Arabidopsis thaliana: one gene and its partner. The protein of the gene in region 2 interacts with the protein of the main gene of each other region in a pairwise test. Each region holds a gene or a part of one and is shown on either strand. Other genes may lie near its edges.

Region 1 (5,697 bases), on a different chromosome or scaffold from region 2:
CAAAACAGAGTCAAGAGTCTAATAACAGTGGAATTTCAAGAAACAACGACCGAATCGTTTCATTAGCAAATAAAAAAACGTATCATCAACAACGGTCTTTCTCAAGCACCTTTATTAGTAAATTTCTTGGAAACTAGATAGGTTTCTTAAAACGGAATATATTACGTCAAATACTCTGAATGGTAACGAAGCGGTCCCCTCTTCGCATGTCTCCAATTTACCAAACAGTGTTGCGACTTTTGAGTTTGTTTTTCATAACACCAAACACAAACAAGTGTCTCAAGTTTATTTAGCTAGCTTTTTTTTCCCCTCATTTAGCTCTAATGATGCATTAAACTTCTTAAGTAGTATGTGATTAGTCCAAATTGTGGATGTTCGGAACCTCACTTTCTTTGTGTTTTCCTTCTACAATAATTTAAATTATAATTAGTGTTGAACAAGCGGAGGCATTTAGTCAAATTACTCATCTTAAAGGTGAACTGATTTCGACCGATTTAGACTTGACTAATATAATATGGTCATAGTCCAATTATTCATCTTTTGTAGTCTTACACAACAAAATGGTTACCATTGAAAATCAAAGGACGGTGAACAAAAGAATAATGATCATTCCCACTACCCATTACTATCTAAATGGTTATTAAAATCTCTTTCGTCGACAAAGTTTAGGTAGGGGATGAAGTAGTGAATGCAGAGACTAGGGATGATGATGCTTGATTCATAAATTAAATACCAAGGTATATTATTAAAGTGCTTTAGAGAAAATAAACACACCAATAGAAAAACGAACGAAACTCCTACAAGATGAATTTCACTTTTAAAAATCCCAAAACCTTTTCTCAATCCTCATTCTTGATGAACAGAGAATGACCTGAATTATATTTTCACGCAATCCTTTTATGTCTGGTAGAGCGTAGTAAAAGATTACTGTTGCTTGCATTCGGGTGGCCTCTCATCTTGTTTACCTTCACCAACTATCTGAGATCTCCCTCCCTTCTGCAGTCCAAGAGGAAAAAAAAATTAAGCAGATGATTCTCACATTTATCACAAACATAGACACTGATTGCTAGTTTGCTACTATAGTAATAAAATGAATTCATGAGAATGGTTCTATCTCGTACTGCCCATGCCATGATTAAAGAGCTTGTTTAGTCTCTGCTGTGTCATTCATGTATCCTTCTCAGAGTCTTCTACGTAACTACCTATTTACTGATTCATACTTTTTAGGATTGCTCAGTTACTTTCAGCAATCTGTATGATTCATGGGCCTCTAGAGCCTACATTTCCGATATTAATTTCTATTTTCATCACAATGCTCAGCCTGAAACTTCTTGTGTTTGGTTATTTGAATGTTGGAGTTCCAAAATCAAATAAACTTTAGTTCTGAAAGGTTACATACCTTGTTGCCGATTGATGGCTGCAAAAAAAAATATTAAGCGATTTCAAAGGATTAGTAAAAAACTAACGTGGCATGAAGAAAAAAAAAAAAAAAAGAAACAACTATACTTGGGGCACTTTATACCTTCTTTTTGGTCTTGCTTTCTTCTTCATCCTCATCATCATCGTCCTCCTCATCCTCTTCGTCTTCCTCATCTTCATCCTCATCAATGTCATCTTCCTCATCGTCATCTATTTCAAAATCCTCTGCTTCCATAGCCTCACCAGTAAACCATGAGACAGCACGAGGAATAATCTTTTCCCGAATAGTAGATCTGCAGAAAGTAAAAAGTACTTGTGATCAGATAATAATGAAAGGGTAACCACCTTGATTGCAGTGATAAAGTAGTCCCATGACTCAAAAGCAAACCCATAAAATCAACAGAGAAAGTGTGTTTAGAAAAAGACGAACCCGATGTCATAATCTTGTTCCATCAGGTTTTGAAGATCCTCAGCCTGCATCAAAGAACGAGAAAGAGTTACTAAATACATTAACTAAATGATGACAGGTTTTTCTAACAATCGTTATCTTACTCTTTCCTCGTCGATATCTTCATCTTCATCCGGAACTTCTGGAGGACTAAAGAAGTTGAAGAAGCTTTCACAATCTTCGAGTTTGGTGATTGGTTTAGTATTCTTTGAACCTTTCTTAGGCTTCTTCTTGAGAATCTTCTGAGTTAGACACTTTCCAGGATACCAATCAATTTCTGTCCTGAAAATGAATGGTGAAAGAATAAGAATCCATTTGCAATATAAGCGAAGAAAAAAAATAAGCAGCTCAATGCAATCAGCTAATAAGCAGAATATACTTAAAAGTATACAACAATTGCAAGAGAGTATAAGTAGTTACCCCATAGCCTTCTCAAGCAGTGGCTCATCTTCATCAATCATATGATAAGACTTTGTCAAGACAGTGTTCTTAAAATACGGATTCGTGTCAAAGAAAAACTCAAGTTTGAATCCTTTAGGCTCTTCAATCTTGCACCACTTAATATCTTTAAGATATTTGAGAGCCCCTTCATCACGCTCTGTGACCTGACATAAATGACAATAAGTTATGCTCATATTCCATGGTTATGATTGGAGTGTTTATAAAACGAACACCAAAACTGCATATAGGCTACCTCCTCGGAAATAACATCGTTATTTTTCAGAGCTGTCAGCCAGAAACTTGGAACTCCTTTCTCTGCAATGAAAAACAGAGAAAAATGTTAAATTGTTTTTGTCTTTCCAAAAAGATTAACAACAAACAAAGAAGACATAGTGCTCATGAAGTTACCTTCTGCAGTTTTCTCCTCTCCTTGGTCCACCTTGGTATCATCCTCTGGAGCCAGTTCAACTTCAGTAGTGCCATTCACAATCTCATAACGCTGTGCCATTACAAGATACCAAGTAGAATTCATTAAGATGCACATAGAAAACTAACACTGCTGCAGATAAGTAAACATAAGCAAAAAGAGTATACACAGATCTACATTGAGTTTAGTAAAATGGTTTGTAAAACTTTCTCATTAACAATTACCTTGACATACAAAGGCTGATACAGCGTTTGATACTTGGCTTCAAGAATAGCTCTCTCCTCACGGAATTTTGCCTCTAGTTCATCATGTTGGCTCTGCGTGGAAAGAAGTCATCAGTAATCAAAACGCAACACCTTACTTTTGAAACTTTAAATTCAGATAAGCAGGGAGAAAACTCACACAAAACAAAACAAACCCCATTAAACGATATATAGCACACATAGTTTGGTAAAATGTGAAAGAAATTTCGCTAACCTGTATATCCCTCAAGGCATCAACGCGCTTTCTCACATTGGGAGTCAGATTCTCGAGCACATCAGAACGCTGACCAGCCAGATTCTGCAGCTTGTTCTGTGAATTAATAACAATGTATTAACAACTCATAAACTATCATTGTACTAGAAGAATGACATTGAAACCAAAACACTAAACACCAAGACACGGCTTATAGTATCTAAACAATCAGAGGAAAGTAACTCAACATCCTCCATATCTTTCAATAGCAAATGCTCACGGGACAGTTTACAGAAGGGGAAAAAAACTCACCTTTAGAGCATTGACAAGGCCAGCTCGATCCTCGTCCTTAAGAGCTGCAAAAAAACAGTAAACAAAAGGAACACCAGTCAGATAACAGAGGAAATTAGGGTTAAAGCAGCTCTGGCTTAAGAGGCGGAGAAAGAGATAAGAGTAATCGTGAGTAGGAGTATTTTACCAGCAGTAAGATCGGAGACGTTGAAGCTATCCTTGTCGTTGCTCATCTTCTGAGGATTTGGTGAAGAGAGAGATTTTGAAGAAGAAGAAGCAGAAGAGACTAGGGACAAGGGTTTTGGGGAGGCGACTCGTAACCCTTAAATCCTCTTTGTTTTTTTGTTTTTTTCTCTCCCTCCTTTTCACACCAAAATTATAACAAATGCCATTTTAGTTTTTTCTCTTTTTATATATACTTTTCTTTCTCTAAAAATTGATGTTTAATGTTTTAAAAAGCAAAATTAAGTTTATTGAATTAAATAACATGCAAAACTTTACATACATATATATATGGATAATGAGAACTGACTTATATATAGATAATTAAAGTTTATTTATGAATTCAATCAATTATAAATATATATAACTAATATATAAACTTTAATTATCTATATAATTAAAATTTTGCATGTAATTATATTAATTATCTATATACTTATATATATATATATACACTTATATATATTTGATTCTTCACCAAATACAGTACAGGTTAGTGAACTTTAATGGGATCAAATAGAAGATTTCTGAATCTGTTAGTACTAAGGCCCATCCCAAGAATGAGCCTTCCAAGCCCAATACACTGATTACTTCTTTTGTTCACATACACTGTACATACTAATTAAAAACAAAAAACAGTCCACAACAAAAACAAAAAAACAGTCCACAACAAAAAGTCATATCCCAAAAGGCACAAAGATCTTTAGTTTGGTTTAAGCTCATCCCGAGTTCAAACGAATTAAACGTACTCTAATCTAGATTAGCTCATCACGACATTTTCAATTTGAAGTTTCAACCTTTTATACGTCTGACCAGAAACACAATAAAGAAGCCTCACGCGTAGCATTTTTTTTTAACCAGAAAACCATGAGACAAATTCAACCTAATCAGATAACTGTAAATCATTTCATTCATCCTATTAAAAGCAAAGGTGAAAAGCTTTTTGTACCTCCACGACTCCCACTTAAGAGAAACATTTTGTAGAGCTTTCAAGTCACGCGTAGCAAACACACCTGGTAAGTGGTCAATCTTTTTATATCATATAGCCATCATAAGAGTATCATTAATAGTAGTTTCTTAGCATAATCTTAATAGTTCTTATGAATATTTTTATAATTGATTTTGAAAATTTTGAAGTTAAGAATTTAGTTAAGAGATTGAAATTTTGGCAATATGCAATGGTGGACTCTTAACTTGAGTTCTTAAAAAAAAAATTGGAAAAAAAGTAGAAACATTATAATTTTAAAAAACTTAATAATTATTACAACTCAAAAAATTTGAAACATACATAACATAAAATTTTAAACAAATATGACAAACAATTAGATTTAATACTTAATTTATCTAAGAATTAAGATTAATTGAATTAAAACATTATATTTAATACCTAATTTATCTAAGAATTAACCTAAGAAACATTAGATTTGGCTCTTATATAAGAGTCATTTTTAACAATTAATTGAATTATAACATTAAATTTAAGACCTACTTTATCTAAGAACTAACCTTATAAACTATGAATAATGATGGTCTAAGCGCGCTTGTTGTTGAAACTCTCAAATAAACCGGATAATTTTAAAACCAGGTTTAGTTTAGTTGGTAGATTCGGCTCAAATAGTAGTATTTTTGTGGATTTAAAGATGCTCAGCATGTATATACATATGTGTTCTATAGATGTTTTACACATTTTTTCTATTTTACTATTCTGCTTGCCATAATCATTAGATTGTTTGGTTGAACCGAAGCATAGAAACCAAACCGAACATAGCACACAGCAACAAAACCGGAATCATTCAGAGGTAAATAATTTTTTTACATTACCCGCAACTGCAAGGAAAGAGGAAAAAAAAAAAGACGCAAACTTTGAGAAAGACATCCTCATCGTTTTCTGTCCATCGAAGCTCTTTTTTTTTTTTTTTTTTTTTATCTTCGTATTCAATTCTTGAGAGGAGAGAGAGAGAGAGAAGCATCCCAGAAAACGACATTCTGTTCA
Region 2 (4,172 bases):
TGTAAAAAAAAAAGATGATTATAATATTTTTTGTGTTTGCATTTTTGACATTAAAAAATAAATCTATTAAAATTTTACAACTAGGTGTCACTTTGATTTAAATTTTCCAATTTTATGTTTAGAATTTTTTAAATTTGGATATTTTAATTTAATATAGGTAAGTAAAATAAAATATTGATCATGATTTATATTTTATAGTCTATAATTTATAAGAATGTTGTTGCAATGACAAGTTTGACAACCCATATAACTAAATCCAGAGTTAGTGAACATTTTTTTTTTTTAATTACTCAAAGATTTACATCTATTTGGCCGGAGAACCGAACATTTAATATAGTAAACATTACACTGTACTGTATTTTTTCTTTATCTAATGAACTCCCATTGTCAATGCATTAGCTAGTGAGTCACTATCACAGCCGCATTTTATCTTAATGCTTTTGACAACAAAAAAATAATGGATTGGGTTGTGAGACTTGAAAAGTGTCATAAGTGAGATTGGTGTGATTATAATACTTTGAAGTCTTTTAAGATATATCTGTCTCTGATTTCTTAACCCAAATCATTGATCAATGACCAAACTCGTTGATGAGGTATATGTTACACCTAGAATAGTTGTCATGCGAGACAAGAAAAAGAAGACACAAATATGAAACAAAAATCAACTCATTGACCAAATTATATCACAATACAAAAGGATATTACCACAACTTTAGATTACAAAATGAGAATTGCAGGTAAGAAAAGGATCAAGCCTGCTCTGCTTAAGTCGCCTTTCGATTGACTTTCAAGTAGGGCAGAGCTCCGATCACGTTGTCATAGTCGCTCCGGTTCACTTCCGTCTGCAATACAGAAGACAGAACACAAAGCTAAACGTGTAAGAGAGAACAGAGCAGCGAAGTTGCTAATTAACAAAGCCAAAACAAGTAATAACTTGAACTTGTGATCATTAGATTGATGCCACAAGATTTAGTTTTGTTTTTCTTTTATACTAGTTGATGATAATAGATTTCTCCCTTAGCCACATTTCTAATGAAAGCCACTGCAGATATCAATCGCATGGTTTCCATATCAAGGGTATAATTCTGCCAATAGCGTTAATCCCCCATTTAAGAGATTCAGCGAGAGGTGCACAGAGGCAAATGCACAATGAAAGACACGGTTTGAAGTTCAAAAATATGTCTTTCGACAAACGAAACCGTATATTTACTACCAAGACATTAGCAAACAAGTCATAACTGGGTTGATAACATGAGTTTTTGTTTGCTAAGAGCATGTTCTTTTCCTAACGATTCATACCACATGCTGAAACATTCAGCAAAACCCACTCACAGCTAATCACTAAAGCTCAGAAAATACGAATGCATTTCACACACACAAAACTATATACCCATCACGATATGCAGAACCAAACAAGATTAAAGAAAACGAACCATTTTCGATAGACGTAATTTCCTCTTGTTGTTCTTCTTAGCTAACAAATGCTGCTTTCCAGATCTCCTCCTCACAATCTTCCCTCTACCCGTCACTCTGAACCGCTTCGCTGAGGCCTATCAACAAAATACATTACACATTCTCATAATTCCATTCAACAAAGACTTAACACCAATCAAGAAAAGGAAACACCTTTACTGAAACAATTCAAAACTTCTAAAGCTAATATGAAGTTCTCAGTGTCAGTAATCTCAAACTTCACCAGATATACTCTTAAGTCTATCACTATGACACCAATAGACACAAGAATAGCCAGTGAACCGAAGAAAAATCCAAACTTTCAAAGCATTGATATTCCAATTTCCGCCACTATACTCTCCAAATCATAGTACTTCACTTCAATTTCAGCTCAACTTAACCAAAAACCAGAAATGCAGAGAAAGTGAGAGAGATAGGGGAAAAGTACCTTGTGGGTCTTCATCTTGTAGCCCTTATGAGCGAAAACGGTAAAAGAATGAAGCTTTTGAGAATTGGGGGAAGCAACTGTAGAAATCTTCAGAGGCAAAACAGCGCGAAGCCCAGAAATGGAGTGACTTGAGGAAAGACTCGTCGCGAAATGAACGGAACTGCGAAGTGAGACCTTTGGAGAAGAAGAGCGTAAAGGATGACAGAAGCTAACGTTAACGGAAGCCATTGAGAGAGAAGCCATTAGGGTTTGTGCTCTCGGCGAATTTTTGATTTTTTGCGCTCACTCCGATTGAGGAAAGAGATGATGAAGAAGATAAGCTTTTTTCGCCTTAAGAGCTAAAGAGAGTGAACGGATGATGTGATATCCGGTTTACTTCGGTTTATTCCGGTTAGGAGAAAACCGGTATAGTTGGTTTTGCTCAAAATGATAACACTTGGCCAAGTGTGCATAATAAAGAAAGAAATGATTAAATCAATGGAAACCAAAGATGACAACATCTTAACATTAATCTTTAGGCCAAAGCTTTTAAACAGTCATTAATGGGTTTGAATAGGCCAAAGTCCGAAATTTTGGTGGAATTTAAGGAAGTTGTGAATCATACTGATTAATGGACAAAGTACATAAGATTTCGTTGGTTGATATACGTTTTGGCAACATGTATTGCATCAAAAAATATATTTTTGTACCTTATTCCTATTATCATAAAATTTGTTTTATCAATGGAGGACAAAACTACAACTTGTGTGGCCTTTATTGATTAGGCTTGAAGGATGTTGGCTTCAATGAAGCTTTATCTCATGAATGTATCGAATATATGGTAAGCTCGAGATTTGGAAAACGATTTCTTTGCTTTTAGTCAAGGTTGCGGCAGCTCAATGATGAAAGTGGATAGAGTATTTTCTAATTTCAATGAGATTTCAGTGGAGCTTGTTATTCATTTCCAGCAGATGATAGATTGGTCGGAGAATGCAAATTCAGAAGATATATTGCCTACGTACAATAATTTAAGCCACATTGTAGGTTTTCGACGTAGAAGGTGTTCTTAGATGTTTATTTAAAAGTAGTGAAAGAGATGAAATAAGTTCTATGATAGAGGCATTTGTGTACCTATCGGACCATCCCTTAGATGTAACTAGATTTTCTTCTCCAACCATTTATGGCTTTGCTGGAGTTTTGCCCATGATATTTGTAAGCTTCAGAAACATTAAAAAAGTGATGCAATCAGGTGTTTTGGTGGAATTCGGGGAATTCGTAAGTCACATTGCTGATCACATTAAAGATATTGACCTTTTTTGAGTAAACATGGACGAAATACACACAATTTCATTAATTGATGTCTGTTTTGGCAACATGGATCACAACGAAAGGAATATTATGGTCACAATATAAGCAAACATACTATGGGTGACTCATGAATATGTGTTTTAAATAAAAGTATAATTGGAATGAAAAATAATAAAGTGATATTTAATTTCACATAATGGGGTTATACTGTGAGATAAGTTTGGGTCGATATTAATTTGGAATGGTATAGCGCATGTAAAATCCTAAAATTACCACTCAAAATACATTTATATAATATTAAATACTGTAACAAAATAAATAAAATATAAAATTCAAAATTGTTTTAGCAAGAACTTAAAATTTAATTTTCTTAGTTAAAAAACATCGACCGGCCCGCAGTGAACAACAAAAAACATTATGCACACCAAATAAATCAGTTTTTTTTTTAAATCAAATAAGTAACCTCACTGCAGGTCATATCAATATAAGTGAATAATAGGTTTCTTGCTGAGTTTCCTATTTTGATCTCACGTGATTTACGCCACACTTTCTCTAATCGACGTAATGTCGTGAGTAAAAATATCATTTCTCTTTTTGGTCAAGAGTATATATATAGTAAATACTTTCATTTTTGTGTTCAGAAAAAAATATTACTTTCATTTATTTTTTTAGTTTTTTCATATTAAAATTTCTTGATAGCTTTTTCTGTGAGTTAGCTTCAATATATTAGTCAGCTCATAATGAGTTCGGATATTTCATAAGTTAGCTCAGCTCAGCTTATTTTTTTCTAAGAGCTTCTATATCTAAACTCGTGCTCAGATCATCATGTTCTTGAACAATAACAAACAAAATCTAATAATAATAATAATAATCCAATAATATAGATTTATAGTTAAATATTGAAAATAATTATAAATCCAAGAAAAAACTAATTTGAGATATGAAATACGATAGGACAGATAGATGCAAATTTATAGAGACGACC

What was found. The genes of interacting proteins can lie anywhere in the genome.
Region 1: the proteins of PRPL35 (region 2) and NAP1;1 interact in a two-hybrid assay, tested with the Arabidopsis thaliana proteins (2 studies listed by BioGRID).

Annotation. Positions count from the first base shown.
Region 1 is NC_003075.7:13,230,730-13,236,426, reverse strand, and holds NAP1;1 (nucleosome assembly protein1;1), read right to left. Parts: upstream 3,860-5,697; 5' UTR 3,716-3,859; coding exon 3,670-3,715; intron 3,548-3,669; coding exon 3,504-3,547; intron 3,309-3,503; coding exon 3,213-3,308; intron 3,053-3,212; coding exon 2,960-3,052; intron 2,808-2,959; coding exon 2,717-2,807; intron 2,624-2,716; coding exon 2,562-2,623; intron 2,473-2,561; coding exon 2,288-2,472; intron 2,150-2,287; coding exon 1,972-2,149; intron 1,894-1,971; coding exon 1,850-1,893; intron 1,713-1,849; coding exon 1,523-1,712; intron 1,418-1,522; coding exon 1,400-1,417; coding exon of another isoform or gene 1,367-1,399; exon of another isoform or gene 997-1,366; coding exon 925-996; 3' UTR 519-924; downstream 1-518. UniProt on the Arabidopsis thaliana protein: May modulate chromatin structure by regulation of nucleosome assembly/disassembly. Contributes to the regulation of cell proliferation and cell expansion. May function in nucleotide excision repair (NER). Involved in somatic homologous recombination.
Region 2 is NC_003071.7:10,240,009-10,244,180, reverse strand, and holds PRPL35 (Ribosomal protein L35), read right to left. Parts: upstream 2,307-4,172; 5' UTR 2,144-2,306; coding exon 1,901-2,143; intron 1,551-1,900; coding exon 1,434-1,550; intron 843-1,433; coding exon 765-842; 3' UTR 507-764; downstream 1-506.